3 linked regions of the Oryzias latipes genome follow. The protein of the gene in region 3 interacts with the protein of the main gene of each other region in a pairwise test. Links are inferred from orthologs where the notes say so. Each region holds a gene or a part of one and is shown on either strand. Other genes may lie near its edges. The genes, in order: bnip2, bnip3 and bcl2.

Region 1 (7,630 bases), on a different chromosome or scaffold from region 3:
AGGAAATCTTCAAAAAGCCACTTTCATGATGCAAGATGCGTTTACAGATCATTCTGAAGAAAAACATGGATGCGACTGCAGTTCCCAACGTTTTTTGCACGTCTTGCAGAGTCACTTCGGAGCAGCAGAGGCAGCAATCCCTACTTTGCTGTGCATTTCCTGGTCGATTCTGCAAAACAGATCCAGTAATCAGGACACTTCTCATTTACAGTCGTCAGGGGGTGTATTGGTGGTGTATCGTTAGGTGTATTGGGTTACCCCACTTTCAATGAACCTTGACTCCTAAACTGATCCACACCTTTAAAGGTTGAGATGGGTGTCTGATAAGAACTTTACAACAACCTCATGATGGGTCTGAAGAGCAGGAATATCAATACAGTTCTGCTGAAGACACTAAATGAATATTTGTTCCTGCTAGTTTACCGTCTGTCACATGTCGCGTCTGCACACAGAAAGTGTACTAAAAACTCATGCACTTTTGTTGTCAAATGCCAGAAAGTTGAGCGAATTCATGCCTTAATACGCTGATAACACACACAGTGAAGATCCCAAAAGTGACAAGTTTAATGTACCTGATATTTATTATCGATGTGCCCACCCAGCTAAAGACCTCTAACAATCATCAAACATCGGCAGGGAAAAGCAGTGGAGCAAGTCATGCACAGGGGAGTAAACAGGTTGGGTGGTGTTCAGTGAGGGATGGTTAATGGACATTACTGTAAGAGAAGATGAAGGTGAATGTGCAGCAGTGCAAACACGCACACCACAGTGACTCAGATGAGATACTTCCTTCCTTTCCGTCTTAATCTGTTCAGTTAAACAGACTTGACGGACCTAACAAATGCTAGCCACGCTAGGCCTGTTTCATTGCCTACAATCCAGATTCCACCAAATGATCAACATCACTGAGAAAGATTGTACTAAAAGCTTCATAAGTGGGTTTTACACCAAATGCTTTTTTGAAGTAGAAAGATTTTTTATGGGAATATTGCAGAATTGGACTAGACAACAACAATTTGTTTTCCTGGAAAAAAAATGTCTGTTGAACTGGAGAGAATGCAAAACAAACTCAATAAATCCTAAATCTATGAAGAGCGGGTGCCTTAGTGCATCTCTGAAAGCTACCAGATTCTCTAATTGTTAGTTCCATAAAAAATAAAAAGGATGCAGTGACCAACCCTTGAAGAAAGTGCCAATACCTTTTTGGGTTTTTCCTATTTTTTTCAGCATCAAACCTTTAGGAGGGGGCAGGGAGACTGGGTTAAGCACATGAAACATGACAACTAACAGCAAATTCAACAGAGCAGACACTTCTTCCTAAATGTGTTAGGTTGAGGTGGTGTACTGCCTTTAAAAACATTGATGGAAAATGTTCTGAAGGGCAAAAACTGTTCAGCTGCATACACAACACGCATTCAAGTGACCACTTTAGATGTTAAGTCTGTGTAAAGGTGCAGATGAGGGTTTCAGGCTCATTCATTCATCTTTTAATCCGTTTTGTCCCTTTCGGTGTCACAGAGCTGCTGGAGCCTATCTCAGCCACTTGCGGGCCAAGGCAGGGGACATCCTGGACAGGTCGCCAGTCTGTCACGGGGCCACAATGACAGGCTGAGAGAGCACATTACTGAAGGTGGATCACACGCCCTGTGTACGGAGCTTTACGCAGGACTGTTTTTATTACGGTACATTTTGTCTGTGCCTTATTGTCTTAAGATCATCTGAGTCAGAATGATAAAGGAACTTTGCTTTTAATTCTCTTTTTTATGGTAATGGTTCTGTTTTAGGTCAAAGCATGCACCTCTCATCTGAGGATTTAATTTCATCCCGGCCCCCTGAGACGTGATAACTGTCCCTTTCATTTAAAATGATTTAGGCTACATTAGTTATAGTTCCCCAAGAGTAACTCGCACAGAAGACTGCAACTCAGTGGACTGTATCTAGTAGATATGGTCACAACCGGCGGATGAAGTCCGAACTGTCTATTCAAGGAGTTTGAAGGATCACACCTGGACTCTCACTGCCAATTAAAACTCAAAAGAAATGTTTTGGAAATAAACATGGGCCCAAAAAGAGCAGAGCCAATGAAACATTTTTTTTTACTTCTGCTGAAGTTTTGCTTTGAATCAACAATAGAAATTTGTTTAAAGTAGGGATGTCACATTATCGTGCAATTTGCAATTGATTACAGTCAAATTAGCGCGTCTTAAAAAAAAAAAAAATCATGTTTATCTAATTTCAAATCTTAAACAATTGCCATGTTCTCTGTTGTAACTGTTTACTTGGATGGATGTTTTTTATTTGAACACACCTGAAAATGTCTCTTACATTGCTCCCAGTGTGTGGCTTTTTAAAGCAATTATTGAGTAAAGAATAATTGTGATTAATAATTACAGGTCACAATTAATTAATTAATTGCATAAAAAAATGAATCGTCTCTTAAATGAATTAGTCTACACCTACATTTTCCTGCTGTCTTGACTTTAACGTACTAAAAGCCTGTCATTTTTTGGAAAAACATGCTACTTACTGTTTGATACAATCTGGTATTGACACATACTCCATCGGGACAAGTTCAGCAAGGTCCGTCAAGCTGTAAACATACTTGATTTTCTGGGTAAATTTAGAGCTGTAAAAAAAAAAATTATGTAAGACAACCACATTGAGAAAAAGACAACTGTTGCTCCATTAATATTAAAAAAGAAATACCTTATGAAAGGTTTAGTGATTGCCAAGAGGGTGCGGATGAACCACGAGGGGTGCACGATTATCAAAGACTTAAGGTTCTTCCGTAATCTGTACAAAGTACAAAGTAATGGGATTTACCTTACAGCAAAATCTGTTCGTTTCTCTCCATTTTCAGAATTGCGGTCAAAGACTGACCTCCTGTCAATCTGTTGATAACACTTTCGGAGCCAGCCGACGGTCGGCATCTTTTTCCGTGAAGTGGCCCCGTTTAAATACACAATCATATAGTTCTCAGCAACCAGGAGCTCCAGTGTTCCAATGACATACCTGTGGTAGAAACTCCTCATTAGTGCTCCTCTAATGTACCCGATCCAATAGAGACTCAAATGAAGACTCACTTAAATAAATTGTCCATGATGGATCTGTAATTTGGCTGATTACTCTCCGGCATGAAGCAAACAGCAAACACAATTATGGCATTCAAACCGTCCCCATAGTAACCTGTGGAGAAAAATGAAAAAAGGTTTTAGCATTCGAACCCGTACTTTCACGGAGAAAGGCTAACGTTTTATCATTTCAGAGCTCAGACTGAGGTCTAATCACACATTTATCCTGTGAATTCAACAGTCAAAAAGACAAAAGTCAGTGCGGCTTTCTGCTCGGGTAGATCGTACAGGAACACCACTGACCTCCATGGCTGATAACTCTTTTGTAAGGTTCAATGGCTTTCATATCCACCCTGTGATCTTGGTCTCCAATCCGGAACACTCTCCAGCGCCGACCTTCCTCGCGCTCCTCAGAGGCTGAGAACTCTGGAACGGATTGAACGCCTTTCTGAAGCAGCTCTGTAGCTTTGGGCTTGGGAAGATCATCTGAGACGAGAAAGAGGCTTTTGAAGCAAACAGCTGCACCCGAGCAAAACCAAATTCTGATCAGATGTGTTAAAAATTGATTCAGAGATGATATTTGGAATGTTTGAATCCCATGCAACAAACAGTTTATTGGTTTGAATCTGGAGCATTATGGCGGTGTGCTTTGATCTGATTTAAAACAATCATATTTGGAATTCCATGACTCAATTTTACTTCTCATTTTAAGAAATGGAAAACAAAGATGAATGAAAGGAATAAACAAGCTTTATGGCAAACCGTTCAAAACATGTATTATGTCAAAAATGTGTGTGTGTGGGGGGGGGCACTAAAATAAATAAATACACATTTCTATATGCAACATTTCATACTTAAGAAAAAACTTGAAATATCTCAAAAGATCTAATCTGAAGTTTGGCTGACGTAAAGCTGGATTCTTTTAAAAAGACAAAAAAGTGGTTAAAACATTTTAAAATCATGATTTTTAAGAATAAAAAATATACAACTTGATGGAAAAAGTGAACCCCTTCAATGACTATAATAGGCAGCATGCAGCATTCATGCAAAACCAGTGAATGCAAACGTTCATCAAATCAAAATGTTTTACATTGAGTTGCATCATTTTAGCAAAGCTTCAGTTTTGAAAGAAATGGTGAATACTTCCTTCTGACAACATTCAACATAAGTACTTGATTATGTACAACCATAAATATTTAAAATATAAATATCATTATAAGAGCAGCTCCATCACCAGTAAAACTATATGACAAAGAAAAGTCAATTAAAAAATAAATAAGTTTGAAATGATCTGAAGGACATGATCAGGAGTTGATTGACTTGGGGGTTTGTCACAATAAAGAAGGCTGTTCAGGAAACCTTACCACGAGGAGGAAAGAAACCTGTTGCTGGTCTGAAGCCTGTTTCCAGGCAGAAAAGGGAAAGAATTCTTCCAAGATAAAAAAGAAAGGCAGCAGGGTGGAAACACATAAACACAGCAGTTTTTAACAATACATGTTTAAAAAAAAAGGGGTGTGCTACACAGAAAACAATCCTAACAAACACAGGAAAATAAAATGCACAGAGAAATTGAACTAGCATTTGCACGTGTTGATCATTAACCCCTTTAGACGTCAGGTTTTTAACATAACTAGTTAAAATTAGATTCCTGGATTTCTCCTGGTTCTTGAAGATTGCTTGCATTTTATCTACAAGGTCAATCTTAAAAGATAGGACAGATGTTTAGACTTTTTGCAGGCGGGACTTCAAATCTGTGAAAATGCTAAAACCGAGATGTTTCTGTTGCTTTGATGAGGATCAAACCGCTCACCTTCCCATTCAAACTCATTGCTGTTGTCGGACGGCGTGTCGATGTCGTCCAGGTCCAGCTCTGTGCTTTCGTCCAGCTCATCGGACAGGATGGAACCTTCACTGCGGTCAAGTGCAAGGTTGATTGTAGGAGCAGAAAGTCTTTTCCGTGGTTTCTTGTCGTGCTTCACTGTATAGCCTGAAATGGAAGACATGCATTAATATTTGGGGACTGTTAAAGAATCTTTTATTACATTTACATGCAGATTCAAGTTCCTCTTTATATTTCCTTTTTCTTTTAAGCTAATGTGAGAGTAAAGAAAAAGCTGAAAATGAACAATTTGTTAACATTCTCTTCTGCATGTGCAGTAAACGGAAGATGCAGCTCGGCCTTTAATTTACCAGGATCTCTTTCTTCTGAGGCTCCCGCAAAAAGCTCCTCTTCCAGCTCCTCTTCCTCTGGGAGAGGCCTAGTTTTCCAAAGAGAACCTCGTTTCAGGATTTGCATGATTGATGAAGTTCCAACAACAATAACGCAATGCAAATGTATGGCTATGCCATGACACATGCACGGTTGACACAGTACCGTGGAAAATCCTCATCTTGCCACTCTTCCTTCAGTTCAACTCCTTCCATTCTTAAACGGGCCTCTGTTGTGGTGACCGACTCTTGACGCTCAAGACTACAAAAGCAGAAGATTCAAAGAAAAAGTCAGCAAAATGGCAAATGAATGACATAGGGCTGGGTATCACCAATAATTTCCAGAATTGATTTGATTCACTAGAGGGTAGATCAAACCAATTCACGGTTTCTTCAATTCTTTCGATTCACTCGTTTCAATTCGATTCAATTTTGAATTTACAGTTTACACATATAGACATATTTGCATAGAAATACAATTACATATGTGTGTTTTAAAGATACTTTAGTCACATATTAATCTGATACAGTTCACATACTGTAAGATTGTAAAAAGAAGAAGCTCCAACAAAAATGTGCAGATTATTCTGTTCTGCCTCTCCTGGAGGGCGTTTCAGTTTGGCCACTAGGTGGAGCTCGCGCTTTAGCATTACACTTTATCTAAGAAGATTTGAGCAAAAACCGGTCCTTTAGACACCAAATGATTCATCGATTTCATCAACCTAGCCCTCGAATGACATATGTTTAAATCATGTCAATCAGAGGCAATTCTGACTATTTTAACTTTAAATTAAACAATTTAAGAGAATATGAGGTAAATATTCTCCCTAAATCACATACATTAAACTCTTGATTCTACTCCTCAGAATGAAAGATCATAAATAGATTGAAAAATAGAAGTTAAAAATGAATGAAAGCTTTCTTTTTTTCTGTCAGCAGCATTTGTTTTCTGACCATAACAATAAATTAGTCAAAGATAAAATGTTTAATGACATTTTGTCAGACTTAGAAACTCTGTCAATTACTTTTTTTAAACACAATAAAATTTACAGTCTCCAAAATCAGCTCGGATGCTCAAGCTTGTAGTTTACTTTAAAATCAGCTCTATTTATTCATGAAAACCTGTGAGCTTTAGTTAAGAGATTAGTTTATGAACCACAACTAAAGCTGCCTATTGTATCTGTGACTGGGTGACACACTGATCTCTCAGAATAGCTCATCTCTGCATGTGTGCAACAAACTTATTTTTAATTTACTAATGCAAATGGCACAGGCCTTTTAATATTTTTAATTTAACTTTTATTTAACCAGGAAATTTCCATAGAGATTAAAAACCTCTTTTCCAAGGGAGTCCTGGCCAACAGGCAGCACATTTCAATAGAAAAAATACATATGAACAAACATAATTTAATCACACAAATCACAAAAATGAGTGGGAACACATTAGGATCATTACAAATACTAACGTGAAAAAAATAAATGTTTAGAAAATGAAAACATGGATCATGCAGTGCTAACATACAGATTTAGCTGACTCAAGTAAAGTACATAGATAAATGCTTTTAAATATTCTTTTGAAGACATGAATTTTTCAGAGTATTCCATTAAAGCAAAGATAAATAAGTGTGAAAAAACAATCTACTTCACAGTTACTTTATCTTTAAAATGTTACTCGTTAATTTCTGATGTTATAATTAAAATGGTTATTTTAGTGGTGCTTCACTGCAAAAGGTACAATTGTTTTGTTTTCTGCACTAAAATTCTACATCCAGGGACAAAACTAGAAATTAAGTTGGAGCCTTTTAGCAAATAATTAAAGCTCTTGTCTCTGCTAAAGCTTTTTGTTTTTGTAAAAATCTTATTTCAATTATGGGAAGCTATGATAGTTAGAGGTGTAACAATAATTGACTTAATCAATGAATTGTAATATCCAAGCAGATCGATCTATTTGAGGCAAATCACCTATACCATAATTGTTTCAAAATGAAATAAATCGATTATTAATATAGTAAAATACCCTTTGGATTGAGACACGGTAGGTTTATTTAACTACAAAGTAAAAACGCGACCAAGTCCATCACAGCGTACAACAAACGTGATGGCGGCAAAAAATGATCAAGCCATCATTTCTTTGCTGCAAATGTGTGGAAAAACTTTCCGTTTACAAAGTCGTGTAAAGCCATACAGTGTGGTAGAATGCTCTAATAATTTTCCCCTTTTGGATTATTTTGATGTGAAAAAAAAAACGGTGGGCGGCACTTATGGAAACTAAAATGTGAATAGATTTGCCATTAATTCTAGTTTACTTGTTTGTTTGTACACATATTGCATTTACACTTGATTATCTTGCA
Region 2 (8,335 bases), on a different chromosome or scaffold from region 3:
GTGGGCAGGTGAACATGGGGTGTATAAACCACAGACCATAGACAAACGCCCAGAGCAGAGCAGCAGATAGTCAAGAAAATTATACACAAATTCTTGTTGTTTAAACATGGATGATTTTTTTTTAAAGCCAAGCGCACGATGCATACTTTTTAAAATACTTTTTCCATCCTGAATATTTTAAAGGTGCAAGACAATTAATTCTGAAGGATTTGAGGAGCCTGAGGATCAGATTAAATTCACCCCATGATACCTATTATCTTACCTGCTGTCTGGGCAAAACATAGAATATTAAATATGTCAAAAGTGTTTGAATAGTTTTGTTACAAAACTAAACTGTGACATCTGTGATACCAATAAATAACACAGAAGGCGCAGATATCTTTCTAATAGTAAAATATGTCACACAATGTATTCTCAGATCATAAAGGATGTGTTTCCTTTCAGGCCAATTGTCAGATCAGTATTTTAAAAACTTACTTGTTTTTGGTCTCAAAGTCTCTACTGGGATCTTCTTAAGTCATGTTTTCCCTCTAATTTAAAAAGATTAAATTGCATAAATGTAAACTAAAAGGTTATCTAATGGAAACTGTGAATTAAATCAGAGTCTGGGACTTTTGGGAATTCATTGAATTGTTGTGATGAAATCACAACTTCTGTCTTTAAAAAAATCCCCAAAAAGAAAAAAATGGAGGTTGCCATTGGCACCATTGTAGTTTTCTGATCTAAATCTTAGAAACCAATCAGCCTAGCTTTTGTCCACTTCTTTCATCTTTTATCTTTCACACAACCTGAGAAAAAGTTGAAAGAAAGACAAGGCCATAGTGCTTAGATTTTATTTAAAATATTCATTGATGCATTGCTATTTTAACACTTTATTTAACTTTTTAACTTATTAACAATTGACAGTGCTAAGGATCTGGCCTTCACCCAACAATATAGCTGGGTTGACTCCAACAGCCTCGTGAACCCAAAAGGGAGTTCTAAGAATGGACGGCTGGATGGACGCTGCTAAACCATGACTTCTGTCTTTTAGCTTTTTTTTTTCCGGACGACTTTACAGCAGTCTGTTGAAATGGTTTTGCAATTTGATGCATTGTTAAACATTTGTAATTTAACATATTTTTTACTTTAAAAAGATTGTCTATTTAGGTTTTGTTTTTTAAAATTGAAAACTTAGCAATTGTAAGTAAAATAAATGTTTTTATTGTGTGCATTGCAGTCAGCCACCTTTACTCTCTTACTCCATCCATTCATCCATTTTCTTAACCCACTTCACTCCTTCCATGGTCCTGGGGCTGCCAGAGCCTAACCTGGCTGCCATTGGGCCAAGTCAGGGTACACCCTGGAGAAATCCTCAGCCTATCGCAGAGCAACACAATCACACACCTAAACACACTCACAGTTACACCTTAGGAGAATTTGGAGTAACCATTCGACAGATGAAGCCCGTCTTTGGATTGTGAAAAGAGGCTGGAAAGACTCTGGAGAACACCCACCATTTGAACTGGGACCCTTTCACTGTGAGGCAAGAGCGCTAACCACTGTGCCACTATGCAGCCCTCCTACTCCAAAAGAAGAAAAAAATCCAGTCAAACTTAACTTCCTTCGGATTAGCCTTACTCTCAATTAGTAAATAGAGTCCACCCATCTGTTTTTTAATCTCTTTATAAACACAGCTGCTCTGCAAAGGCTCTAGTGGATTGTAAGAGAACTTTGGTAAACAAACAGCATCATGAAGCCTGTGGAGGACACTAGATCAGGAATAAAAGAGGTGAACAAGTTTAAAGCAGGATCAGTATAGGAGAGGCCTCAGAGATCTGGAGTTCAAGTGGGAAAACCTGTCAAACAAAGTAGCCGTTAATTGTTAACTAAGCAAATATTTGTATCTTTGAGTGGCTGAAAATCAATTTCTTAAAAGAGAGCTACAATATAGCCTTATTTTCAGTTTTGTATTCTTAACTAAAACTCTAATGATAGTTTTTTTGGGGAAAAAATCAGATTAGAAGAAAATTATTTTTATTGTGTGGATTGAAATACTACCGGCATGTTAGGCAGAACACTAACACTGAACATCCCCCTGAACTCACACTCTAAAACATGGTGGTGGAAGAATCATATTTAGAAAGGTTGCTCTTTAGCAGGGGCAGGGGGGCGAACCTAAATATGCAGAGAATCCATTCAGAGCTACAATGAAGCAGATGAGATCTAAGATTCTTTCTGTTAGAAGCTCATGTGTTCATGGGAAAAGACGTTGACATGGTTGAATCCCCAAAAAGTGATTAAACTGTATTTCTGGGATTATTTTAGGCCTCTGATCAAAGCTAATTTTCATGAAATAATAATAATAAATAAATAGCCAGTAATCGCAAGCTTTTTCTTTTCTTTTTTTTTTTTTTTGCTCATGTAATCATTTGTCTTTCTACTTTCACCTAAATAAAAATAATATGAAAAAAAAATCACATAATTGTATCACATCCTGTGTGATAAAAGTGCTGATTCATGTCATTTTAGTAATGTAAACTTTTGATTTTTTTTATTGAATCAATCTATCACGGCATGTCTGTCAATGACATCAATGTCAAATAGGTAAAAATAAAGGTAGACAAAAACACGTATGAAAACAAATATAACTTTTGAAAAAATTAATAAAAAATAAGGGGAAAAATAAATAAAAATAAGGGATGTTAGTAATATAAACAGTATCGCGTTTAAAGCTCACGAGAATAAACGGTAACATCCATGTTTAAGCGTACAAGCGAGCATGCGCGCTGATGTCAGAAGTGCGTTCTCAGCATGCAAGGCGCATGCGCGCCCTTCATGTGGAGCCAATCGTCTTTAAGATAAACACAGCGTTGCGTCATTGTTGTTTCAGCACTCTAAACTCCAGCTGTTTACAGACATTTCACCTTCATTCGAGCCTCCACAGCCGTGAAAGAACCAAGACTACAACGCAAAAATGTCGATCCAGAAGGATGCTTCCTCTGACGAGAGTTTGCAAGGTAACGTGTTCATAAATCTGTCATGTAAACATCCATTAATGTTAACGAGTGAGACGAGGTTAATCCAAATTTTAGTACCTCTAATGAATCGAAGTGATTAGTTAGCATCTTCCACCACTGTTGAAGCCAAACTAAAGGCTTGTGTTTTGTTCCACTAGACGCTTGAGCTCGATTAGCCCCCGTATGGTATGCTAACAATAACAATGACAACATAGCAGCATGGATCCTGACTGCAGCCTGCCTATGTTTTCATCTGAGGTTCCTGGGTTGAGCTGCATTTCAGCGGGAATGGGTCTCAGGGGACATGTCACCGAGGAGGCCAGGAGGAGCAGATCTCCACGTCCAGCCAAGAGGGCGACGCGGTGGAGCGAATGTTGCTGGAAGCACAACACGAGTCCGGCAGAAGCAGCTCAAGAGGAAGCTCCCACTGCAACAGGTTGAAAAGAGGAAGAATGTGTTTCCACCATTTGTTGCGAAATGTTATTTGTGTGGACAAAGTTTAAAACTTGTATTATTTTTTTTAAACAGCCCTCTCAGATCACAGACCCCTCTTCTGGTGTGGAGAGGCTCGGAGGGGAACAGCTCACAGGTGAACACAACAAACATTTTGACTCATTAAATGCCTAGAAAGGCCACTATTTTAAACTACGAAAAGGTAATTTTTTTGACAAACAGGATAACATATTACAAATTGATCATCGTTTATTTAAATGAAAACCATCCCTATTTCTTTACATGCTAATAGTTTTTAATAGATGATGCGTTTCTGGTTTTATGTTAATTTGATTTAGGTTATTCTGTTTTATTATTTGCATTTAGGTCTTGATATGTCAGATAACTGGGCAAAATATTGTTTATAAGTCTAACCATCTACAAGTTGTTGACTTTCCGATACATTCCTTCAGGGGTCGCCACAGTGATTCAGCATTCTCTGATAGTGGTTAATTATTTAGAATAAGCATAAAACAAATATTCTTACCTCCTGCTGAACATTGTCTAGCTGCCGTTTAGAGAGAAAATTTTGAGTTGTGTTTATTTGTACAGATTTTTTTTTTGGGTGCCTTTTTTGCATTTTAAATGCTAAGAAGTTCTTATTTAACACTGGGTGTATTTTATTTTGAAAGGAATTTGTATTTGTTCCTGTCAAAAGTAAAATAAATTGAATTTATAATATGTAGAAAAATGCAAGACTTTTATTATCAAATTATTATGAATATTTTAATGGTCTGAAAAACATTAATTTTTATAAGCGGCAAAGTGGAACTTTGTGGCCTTTGGATTAATAAGAAACTAGTTCAATTGGCTCTTTTAGTGTTAAAGGTTGAAGAACCCGGCTTTAAACTATATATGTTCAGTTTGAAAAAATTTGTTGTAAAAAGGGATTTGCTGCCGAATGGTTTCAGGAAATGCGATGGTCACTTGTTGTGTTTTGGCAACACTTGCTTATCTGTTCTTGTGTTTTTAGTCAGATGAAGACTTCCAGGAGAGGAAGCGGGAGGTGGAGAACCTGATGAAGAAAAATGCTGACTGGATCTGGGACTGGTCCAGCCGACCGGAAAACAGCCCTCCCAAGTAAAGCCGATCATTTAATTATTATTTTAATACGCTGCCGTCATTTATTTTGAAGCCCAAGTATTCAAAAAGTAGTTTATTTGTAACAATATTCCTGGTAAGTGCATTTGCTTAACTGCATCATTTTGATTTTCAGGTTTTGGATCTTTGTGGGCTTAGAGTGGCAGGCTGACATTAAAAGTCTGATCTATTTTTAATGAATTGAAAACGCTGAAATATTCATGGGTTCCTCTACAGGGAGTTCCTGCTGAAGCGCCCCAAGCGTGCGTCTTCTCTCAGCATAAGGAACAGCAGCGTCATGAAGAAGGGAGGAATCCTGTCCGCTGACTTTCTCAAGCTTTTCCTTCCTTCGTTAATCATTTCTCACATACTTGCTGTTGGCTTAGGGTAAGCAGCTTTGTTTAATATCTAACTTTTTTTAATATATGACCACATAAAGTTGAAACATGTACCTGTACTTTCACACTAAAAGCTTTTATTTTTCAGATTACTTTGCATATTAATCTGCATATTTTTTAATTGCTATTATTGCAGTTAGACTCAGTAATTTTAGGATTCTTTAGGGAGATTAACAACTTTTTGTACTTTCTTTGAGTATCAAGTGGTGTATTTTATTATTAACTTTATAAACTGTAGGTTTTGATTTTGATTCATTTTTCCTACTTCTTCCAGGATTTACATTGGGAAGCGCCTTACTTCCCACCACACCTACTAAAAATGGGGGATGAATGGTTGCACACCTTACTTCAAACAGCTCGGCATGCCTTAAAAATGAGACACCCTGCAGCGGAAGAGGAAAAGTGGCCTCAGGTTGTGGAGAGCTGTGACATTTTCTCAGCCGTTTTGCAGCCTAAACCTCTGAGCGCAGCAGCGACCGATCCGCTGCACCATCTGTCCTATAGAGGACAGTTCTGCTGCTTTTTGCTCCTGTAATCTGCATGCAAAGGAACTGACTGGTACTCAACTCATGTATTTTATTTTTTTCAAATTAATCTTTGAGATCACGTGCTGTGAAATTTAATTTTTTTGATCAACAAATATATAAGGGAACTGTGTGAATTTTTTTTCTTTTATGCATCGAAGGAATCAACAGCAGCACTTGTAGATGAATAAACGGTTAGATAGTGAAATGTGGTTCGTTTTGTTTGTCCCATCAAGAGTTTAACTGAGGAAAACCAACCATGCAGATCAACACAATTAAAATTTTTATTGAACTTTGGTCAAAATAATAAGTGAATACATTGCCACCATGTTAGGAATCAATGGACAAAGACAATGCATCGTGTGTTTTAATGTCATATGTTCTGCGTAGTCCACCTTCATTTCTGCATTTCAAACTGGAGAGCCACATTTTGCAGTTATGCGGATCAATTTGGATGGCATCCCTATTAATGAATAAGGGCACATGTATGAGGCCTGTCTTGTGTTTCCTACTTATTACAGGGTTCTGAGGCACTCCATCACAGAAACTGTGCAATCTTCCTCCTTTGTGTTTCCATAGACAGCCACATGTAGCAGCAGCGTATGAGGACATAACTCTAGAAAATAGGATTTATAAATAATGCACATGAGGTTTGTAAAAACGTTTGGGGATGTTAAAAGTCGTAGCTGTCACTGATAGAAGTAGGTATTAAGGCTGCAGATTCCCCTTTGTCCTGGACCCATTAACGTTCCATTCCTTAGAACTGAAGCTTAACCTCTCCACAGAAACACATAATGAGCCGTTTCCAAAACCCATGGCCCCCCAAATACTATTTCCATTGACGTTTTCTTGGAGATCTGCTCAATAGACAGTGGTGTGACTGGACATTTTCCACCTCTCTACAACATAAAAAACATGCAAAGCAATAAACATGTTTTAATACATACTTCTAAATTTAAAAACACATCTGTAGTTTTAGTTTCTTTTTATTATGTGGATGACAAGGTGTATTTAAGTAGATACAGTCAGTGAAGTTATATCACCTGTATTAACTGGGGTAAAAAAAGACGGGAGGGATGAGGAGAAACAAGTCCACTTTCCAAATTCACGACCCCATTCCGCTCGTAGTTTGGCCTAAAACTATAGGGCCAACGCGGGAGTGTTGACGGCTGGCGTTAGCGGCCGTTATTCCGTGCTTGAGGACCCCGAGATCTTTGAAAGATGGATTCAACCTTGACAAGACGCCGTTATAAAGAGTTCAGATGTTAAATGGTGAAATGAAGGCTTAAAATGTCAACCAAAAAGAATCAGCAACGCTCAAGAGTTGGACCTCTGCCGAGTGCCTTTCCGTCGATTAGACCGGAATTGGGCTTTCTGGGATGGGGGGGGAGGGAGGGGAGGCATGTTGATGGCCCTGGTTGCCCACAGGCGAAAATCAACCTAAGCTCGAAATAAAACAGCCTATGAAAACCTCCTGTGGCCAAAAAGAAAAAAAAAAAAAAAGTAGACACGTGCTTTCGAAATCTTCACCAGGAGGACAACAAGGCCGTTTTCTTCTTATACAGATAGACAAGTAGTAGGCTTAACTACACAGGTACGGTAAAAGCCCTATCCTCTGGAGCCCCACCAATCTTCTAGTTGATTTTGTCCTGGAAAATGTACAAGTTGTTGGTGGCTGCCACAGCTATCACATTATCTTTGGGGTGCCAGGCAGTGTGGAGGATCTTCTTATTGAAGTCCAGGCTGTCCACGCTGATCTCGTCCTTCTTCCTCTTGCCACCGGTGGACACTTTCCGTGGTTTGAGGGTGGCCCTGGGTTTGCTGCTCTCCCGGGACGCCTCCAGTGTTATGTCCCGCCGGGTGTTGCGGTCGAACATTCGGAAGAAGTTGTTGTAGGAGCCGGTCATGATGGCACTGACGGAAAGAGTTTGGTTTTTTAAAAAAAAAAAAAGGCGAGGGCGGGTTTTCCCCGGACTGTTTCTCTGCGACAGTGAGGAGGCTTACCTGTCGCTGCCATTCCAGCAGCATTCAAACTTATCAAAGATGCAGTCATTTTCATACAAGGAGCAGAGTTTACTGCGAAGGTATTCATGAACCTGGAATAAAACACAACTAAATATAAACACTGAAAAGAGAGAAAAAAAAGGCTCATTCAGCTCATACAATAGGCCTGCACAATATACCGCAAATTTATCGTTATCGCAATATCCAGCTCTGCAATATGCATATCGCAAAAGACGGCGAATATCGCAATAAATCGCAAACCCAAAATGTGTTAAAACAATCTTCTAGCAGCTTGAAGCATTTAACACATCAAATAAATCCCTTTATGCTTCTACCAATCAGATGGACGCCTTCCCATTGTTGACCAATCAGATGGAGGCCTATTATGTTAACCCTGGTCCTGAAGAGCCTCAACCCTGCCTGTTTTCCAGCTCTCCTTAACCAGCTTGCTGTTGATTGGCTGACTCAAGTGATTTCACATCCTGATTGACTGAACACACCTGACTTTGGTTATCATTATCGAGCAGTCTAGGGAGAACTGGAAAACAGACAGGGTTGAGGCTCTTGAGGACCAGGGTTAGCCACCCTGACGTTTGTCCCCCATGTCGATGAGGGTCATTTGGAGTATAATTTTTAAACTGTTGCAATGAAATGGGAATTATGTTTTTGTTTATTTTTCTATTTGTTTATTTACCGCAAATTTATCGTTATCGCAATATTGATCACTACTATCGCATATCGCAAGTTTTCCTCATATCGTGCAGCCCTATCATACAAGATCATCTTTCTGCCCGTTTGGGGTTTTTAACCTCAGTAAAAGGTTCATAGGCAGCAGAGC
Region 3 (7,017 bases):
GAAAATTGTACGGGAATGTTGCTTTCCGTTCTGCCAGCATCCAATGATGGCTTCATCTGACCTTTACTCCAGTTTGATAGACGCTAAAAAGTCTGAACGATGCCTCCATATTTCATGCTTTAACCTCCATTTACTTAATGGCAAGAAAGATGTGACTCTTTTTGCTTTAACCCTTGTGTTATCTTAGATGACCCCACCCTTACACTGACGTGTTCTCCCTACCATGACAAAGGTGGATAAAGGTGGAAAGATTTCATGTAATCCATGGACACCAGTGAAGATCACAAATCATTGAAGAAAAAAGGTTTAGCGCACTGTCTAGTGGGTCTAGATGACCCAACTCCCAATGTTAAAGTGCCTAGGATAGCACAAGGGTTAAAAATAATTTTACTTTAGTGTTAAAGAGGGATCTTTGCCTGTTTTGTGGCTGCTCCCTTCAGGAGTCGCCACAGGGAATCTGACCTCTAGATTCAGCTCTAACCCTTGAAACAGGATCTGTCGCTAAACATCTCACGCTTTCGACATCTTCCACCGTTTACATGATCAGTGAGAATCAGCTGATTCTGACACAGAGAGAAGAGCTGCTTTTCATTTTGGCTGTGCTTTTCTTCATTTCATGAGTAACCCTTGTGGTATCCTAGGCACTTTAACATTGGGAGTTGGGTCATCTAGACCCACTAGACAGTGCGCTGAACCTTATTTTCTTCAATGATTTGTGAACTTCACTGGTGTCCATGGATTACATGAAATTCTATTCACCTTTATCCACCTTCATCATGGGAGGGAGAACACGTCAATGTAGGGGTGGGGTCATAGGATAGCACAAGGTTTAATGTTGTCAACGGTTGAAGAGTTAACACCGATGCTCTTCCTGTCCTAAACCCTCTGCATTCATCCGGACCTGGGACCGGCACATGCAAACACGGAATAACGCCTTTATGTAGTTGCAGTAACTCACACTGCTCAATGGGTGCATCAGAATGGAGCGCAGCACGGAGCTTCTGGCCCTCCCAGCATATTTTTTGTGTCACAAACAAGCTCTATTTTTGAAATGGAATTTTTTATCGCAGTTTTATGCTTAATATTCTTAATACATATTCTCCATTATCAGAAAAATGCCACAAGAACATTTTAAAAACACCAAAAAAAGGATTTTCATTGACTGCAGAAACAAGCATCTTTTTGCTCACAAGTGCCCCCTAAGGAGTGGCAGAGTACTGTCTTTCGCACTTCCGGGTAATCTTCACTTTTTTTTTACACCATATATTAATATTAACAATAAACACTTTATAAAATGCAATCACAGTGTATAACATTCCTGAAAAGTGCCCCCATTCTACGGAGCAATGAACATGATATTCAGAAAAAAAACTTGTTCTCTCAAATTAATACTTTGCGGCCACAAAAATTGGCATTTTGAGTGCACAAATTAGTATTTTAGTATCTTCAATTCCTACTACTAATTTGTGGGCGCAAATTATTATTTTGTGGAAACATTTCTTTCAATGTCATGTCCAGGGCTCCATACCATCCACCTTGTTATGTATACTAACTTTGTGTGTATAAGTTGACTGACTAGCATTTCCTCTGATTGCTGGGATCCTTTTGTTTGGGACAAAAGCTTTTTTTTTTTACCAGAACCTTTACATCATTTTATTCTTCTAGATTTTAGATGTTACTCATTTTGAACCATTTGGAATTATCCATTACAGATTAGCATGCTTATTGTGTGTAGCATGGCTCCAGATGATTAAAAACATGTATCTGCAAAAGAAAGGGAAAATGTTTCTGGCCTGATTTGAAAATGAAGTGTATTTTGACACCAGAGGGCCTGAGTTTGAAGAATCTGCTGATTCTTCTTCTCTGGTGTCATCAGCCCCCAGCCTCAGGAATGCCACAGTACAGGAAGAGAAACAGGAAATGCTTTTGTCTCTCCACAGCACTTCAGTCTCCTCTTTTTTATCCTCTGTTGTTGTTTTTTTTCATTATTAATTTTTGAAAGAAAATATACTTGTGAAGAAAATTGTATGAACACCATTAGGGTCAAATAAAAACACATGACCCCAAAAATTGACTAAGAACAGTAAAGTATCGTGTCAAAGCCAGACAGATTTGAGCAGATCCTCGTGGAAAGAAGTGGTGCACGAACGCTGCAGTGAATCAAACGCAACACTCAATGGAAGGTCAAACACCAGCTTTTAACATCAAAGCAGCTCAGATGTACAGCTTCACTGCACATCAGCTATCGTGGTCCACCTTAAAACCTGCTGGTGTTTCCTTCCTTGAACTTTTTTTTTTTTTTAACTGTCTATTGTAGTGGGATTCAACTCCAACTTTTCACTGTCTTTGTGGGGGCGGGACAGCAGAGAGCTCGGCACCATCACTTCCTGTCCAGCTGTTCCTGCTGTCTCCTGTTCTGAGCAGATGTCTGCGTTTCCTCATGTAAAACATGCAGCTTCGGCGTTTTCTCCACAGATCATCCTTGAAGAGTGTACACTCGCACACTCTTCACACTCGGAGGCCCTCTGCCAGCCTCCCAGTCGCATCAATATATTTATATCTGGGTCTGTCCTGCTCAACCACATGTGAAGAATAAAAAATTTCTTTTTGCTGATCCCTGTGTTTCCTTCTGGGTTGTTTTTTTTCTTTTTACTCTGAGCGGGAAGAATGTCTGAGGTGTGGGAGGGTGGGATGAGCAGTAATGGATCCCTCTACGGCATGGGTGTAATAACACTCTATTTCCACCCATATTCTGCAGCAGGTTTGCATTTCAAAGCATCATTTCACATGAACAGACGGCCTTTGAGAGAGAAGATCTGTAACCTTAACCATGAAATACATGATAAAGTAAATCCTTCAGAAAACGACTCAAAGGTTAGGTTTTTAGCAGCTTTAGATAGGAGAGTTGGCTTCAAAAGCACAGTTCCTAAAGTATACAATGGCATTTATCGGTATAGATTTATTAAAAACATGATGATGCCATGTTTGCAATCCATAGTAAAAGGAGAAAAAGGATGACAGCACACTAAGTCCAACTTATACAAAATTTCAGGTTTGACTTGGATTTCTTTCATTTGTAATTGAAGTAAATCTTTTCCTGGAGGATCTTGACAAAGGATGCATTTTATTTTGAAGGGAACTTTTATGCGTAACAGTTAAAAGTAAAAAAAACAATTATATATAGAAAAATTTCACATTGGTATAATTGAATTATTGTAAATATTTAGAAGCTACGTTTAAAAAAATAAACGTCTAAATGTCCACAGAAACATTAATAAAATTGGTGGTTCTTGCTAAGTTTTGGTCAGTAAGAAAATGTCTCTTTTGTCATTAACCCTTGTGTTATCCTAGGCACTTTAACATTGGGAGTTGAGTCACAAGAACCTTTTTTCTTCAATGATTTGTGATCTTTACTGGTGTCCATGGATTACATGAAATCCTCTTCACCTTTATCCTTTGTCATGGTAGGGAGAACACCTCAATGTAAGGGTGGGGTCATCTGAGACAGCACAAGGGTTAAAATAGGTGCTGCCGCTTTGATCTACCCCCCACTGAGTTACAGCAAATTGAGCTAACAATTTAAAATCACTTTTTTTTTTAGAGAAAAGTGACTAGAATGTGCAAATGTGTGTTTTTACACTTTTTATTTAAAAAAATCTGAACTGATATTCATGAAGTTCTTGTTCTTCCTGTTTGTCTTTCAGGATGCCTTTGTGGAGCTGTATGACAGACAGAAGGAAACCGTCTTCACATGCTACTGGCCGTCCATCAAGACTGTCTTCGGCCTGGCTGCTCTCGGGGCGGCGAGCCTGACCATTGGAGCATACCTTGCACAAAAGTGAACCACCTCGTTCCCATCTGCTCAACTTTGTGCCTCTTTTGTTTTTCTTTTCCTTTCTCTCCTTTCCTGAGACACTCCTGACCCCTCTGAGACACGCTTCAGACTGAATCTGGTTTGCTTCAAAGGCTCCCTCAGAAAAGTCCCCCCCTCTAGCCCCTTCATGTCAAAACAGACACAAATCAAAACAGGAGAGGGAACCAGAGGCACGGCCCACAAGGCAGAGGAGATGTTGAAAAGATGCACCTGAGATGTAATCACACTAAGACAAGTTCAAGAGAAACAAGGAACGCACGTCTATTTTTTCATGTTTCCTTTTTTTGGTCTGCCTGCTTTAGTATCCGTGACAGCATGAACGTTACGTGTTAGAGTAGACTTTGCATGTGTGGGATTGCAGTTTGGGGGGCTTAAAGGCAAACGGATGCAAAGATGATGACTCCGGAGAAGACGAAGAAGAGAGTGCAACTATGTCAGTTCTTGTCAGGGTGAAGGACCTGGTTTGAACTGTGGACTCCAGTTTACCTTCAAAGCACTTCCTCTGCGGAACAGCTGCTCCGAATGTGTGATGGAAACGGTTTGCTGTTGCTAGTGCGGTGTGTCTGCTGTTCTCACTCCTCAGTGAAGCACCATTAGACTCTCCCAGCCTGTGATGGTGGATGCAAACAGCTTCTCCTTTACAGACTTTTGAAAGCTCCTCCACTTTTACGTCGTCTTTTTTTTACTTCAGGAAGGTTTTAAGTTGATGAAAACGTCATTCTGAGAGGAATAGGGACTGCAGCACACACAGAAAAGGAGGAAAGGAGGAAGCACAATAACCAGCACATTTTGTATTCTGAGGCTTTTACAGTATAACCGCACAATTTTAAGAGTGCATTCCACAGGCAATGAAATGCAAAGCAGACCACCCACATTGGTAATTTATATAAAAGTCTAACAATCACAGAGCTAAAAAAAGAAAAAAACGAGCCTGTTGCATCTTCTTTGCTTCTTCGTGAGTCCATTTGTGGTCAGATTGATTGGGTTCATTCAGGTTCTAGGGGTTACCCTGCCAACATGTGTTGGCCTGGCCCCACAAAGACTCAGTGGAGAACCAGACGTGGGCGGATGTGACCGAGCGGACTGCACAGAAGCAGGACTGAAGGTAGAGTCCGGCGCGCTGGAACCTGAGATGTCTGCGTTTCCTCATGTAAAACATGCAGCTTCGGCGTTTTCTCCACAGATCATCCTTGAAGAGTGTACACTCGCACACTCTTCACACTCGGAGGCCCTCTGCCAGCCTCCCAGTCGCATCAATATATTTATATCTGGGTCTGTCCTGCTCAACCACATGTGAAGAATAAAAAATTTCTTTTTGCTGATCCCTGTGTTTCCTTCTGGGTTGTTTTTTTTCTTTTTACTCTGAGAGTCTAAGAGTGCATTCCACAGGCAATGAAATGCAAAGCAGACCACCCACATTGGTAATTTATATAAAAGTCTAACAATCACAGAGCTAAAAAAAGAAAAAAACGAGCCTGTTGCATCTTCTTTGCTTCTTCGTGAGTCCATTTGTGGTCAGATTGATTGGGTTCATTCAGGTTCTAGGGGTTACCCTGCCAACATGTGTTGGCCTGGCCCCACAAAGACTCAGTGGAGAACCAGACGTGGGCGGATGTGACCGAGCGGACTGCACAGAAGCAGGACTGAAGGTAGAGTCCGGCGCGCTGGAACCTGAGATGTCTGCGTTTCCTCATGTAAAACATGCAGCTTCGGCGTTTTCTCCACAGATCATCCTTGAAGAGTGTGCGAGTGTACACTCTCCTCCCCTGTCTGCAGATGCATCCAGCCATTGATTTGTTCCTCCCATCCTGTTTTATTGATGTTTGTCTTGTGTTACAGGCTGATGGAAAAATTTGGAAGCACGTACATGCTCCAAAATATTTCATTGTAAAAGTTAGTTGTCTATGTAGAGCTGACTTTATTTCTAAGAAACTCTCAAACTTTGTTTTTTTTTTTTTTTTTTTTGCTGCATGGATGGAAGACAGTTTAAAATGCAACAGACATTCACAGCATATACTCATATTTATAACAGACTAGAAGAGGAAAAAGTAACATCAATAAAGCTGACTTTCCTATTTATTACGAGGTACCAAGATCACAGAGATTTAACAGTGCTTTCATTAAATTCAGCCTTTTTAATTTTCTCGTTCTTTTTTATCTATTAAATCACACTGTAACTCGGTTATTTCCTGGCTGCTATAGTAGCGATGTTGAGATAATAAATTTTTGTGTTTTGTGTTAATATTGGCTTATGGCTGCTATACTGTCAATTTAACCCACAGCTTCAACTGCCACGACTTCACAGTACAGACCTATAGAAAGCTGGAAACCAAAGTAAACCGATCTGTAATTTAGCAGTAGCTTCATGAAAAACACTTCAAGCTTGGAGAGGTTGTTTTGTGTTTGTGTTGTCCTACTATATCACATTCACTTTGGTCTTTGTAAAAAGCTGTCAGACTCGTCTCAATCCTCACTATAAACACAATTCTTATAAGAAAACAGCTCTTGGAGTGTAGTGATGTGTGTGAAAAAGCAGAGGCAGGAATAGGAACAGCTTAACAGCAATATACTGTAATTTTGATATATTCTCTGTGCATATGTGAATGTAGCACTCTTGTTGCTGTAGCCTACTGTTTTTATGTCCATAATCGCAAACCCCGTAGCACTTAAAAAAGTGTACTGTGTTATGTTGTTTACTGCCAATAAGCTAGCAGGATCATATTTGTTCCTAATAAACCAGACTTCTTGAGCTAATCAGATACAAGTTGATGCTGTGTGCTCTTTCTGTTGTGTTTTTCCTCCTTGAGAGCGAGGCTGAAAGAGAATAGCAGATGTTTAGGTGATGAGGAGGGGATCAACTGTGTTCCTTTGATTATATGTTATCCATCACACTTGTGTGAGCCTGATTGTGTGTCAAAGTGACAGTCTTCTCGTGAAGGATGGTGGTGCACAGGCACGAGCCGCGCCCCACCAGACTTCAAAGCCTGTCCCCAAACGCCGCACTTGTCAGCCTCGCTGCTAAACACAAGTGCAAAGAAAAAAAAAAAACCCCAAATGCCCTGCGGCCAGGTTTTGTACACCCCCTGCCTTTTTCTCTGATCACACTAGTCTTCAAAGGCTGCAGCCCTCTCGCTGCTCCGTGG

Evidence for each region.
Region 1: the proteins of bcl2 (region 3) and bnip2 interact in a two-hybrid assay, tested with the Homo sapiens proteins (3 studies listed by BioGRID and IntAct). The link is inferred for Oryzias latipes from reciprocal best matches to the Homo sapiens genes BCL2 and BNIP2.
Region 2: the proteins of bcl2 (region 3) and bnip3 interact in a two-hybrid assay, tested with the Homo sapiens proteins (2 studies listed by BioGRID and IntAct). The link is inferred for Oryzias latipes from reciprocal best matches to the Homo sapiens genes BCL2 and BNIP3.

What each region holds. Positions count from the first base shown.
Region 1 is NC_019864.2:17,092,670-17,100,299, forward strand, and holds part of bnip2 (BCL2/adenovirus E1B 19 kDa protein-interacting protein 2), read right to left. Parts: intron 5,542-7,630; coding exon 5,446-5,541; intron 5,330-5,445; coding exon 5,262-5,329; intron 5,059-5,261; coding exon 4,882-5,058; intron 3,558-4,881; coding exon 3,375-3,557; intron 3,187-3,374; coding exon 3,084-3,186; intron 3,013-3,083; coding exon 2,881-3,012; intron 2,794-2,880; coding exon 2,707-2,793; intron 2,627-2,706; coding exon 2,528-2,626; coding exon of another isoform or gene 2,524-2,527; intron 1,236-2,523; coding exon 1,200-1,235; intron 717-1,199; exon of another isoform or gene 573-716; intron 170-572; coding exon 112-169; 3' UTR 1-111.
Region 2 is NC_019873.2:19,568,500-19,576,834, reverse strand, and holds bnip3 (BCL2/adenovirus E1B 19 kDa protein-interacting protein 3), read left to right. Parts: upstream 1-2,825; 5' UTR 2,826-2,956; coding exon 2,957-2,999; intron 3,000-3,257; coding exon 3,258-3,435; intron 3,436-3,527; coding exon 3,528-3,588; intron 3,589-4,464; coding exon 4,465-4,571; intron 4,572-4,808; coding exon 4,809-4,958; intron 4,959-5,243; coding exon 5,244-5,286; 3' UTR 5,287-5,701; downstream 5,702-8,335. Other genes in the region: ppp2r2d (serine/threonine-protein phosphatase 2A 55 kDa regulatory subunit B delta isoform), read right to left, coding at 7,128-7,407, 7,498-7,589. UniProt on the Homo sapiens protein: Apoptosis-inducing protein that can overcome BCL2 suppression. May play a role in repartitioning calcium between the two major intracellular calcium stores in association with BCL2.
Region 3 is NC_019875.2:25,449,654-25,456,670, reverse strand, and holds the end of bcl2 (apoptosis regulator Bcl-2), read left to right. Parts: intron 1-3,704; coding exon 3,705-3,842; 3' UTR 3,843-5,196; downstream 5,197-7,017. UniProt on the Homo sapiens protein: Suppresses apoptosis in a variety of cell systems including factor-dependent lymphohematopoietic and neural cells. Regulates cell death by controlling the mitochondrial membrane permeability. Appears to function in a feedback loop system with caspases.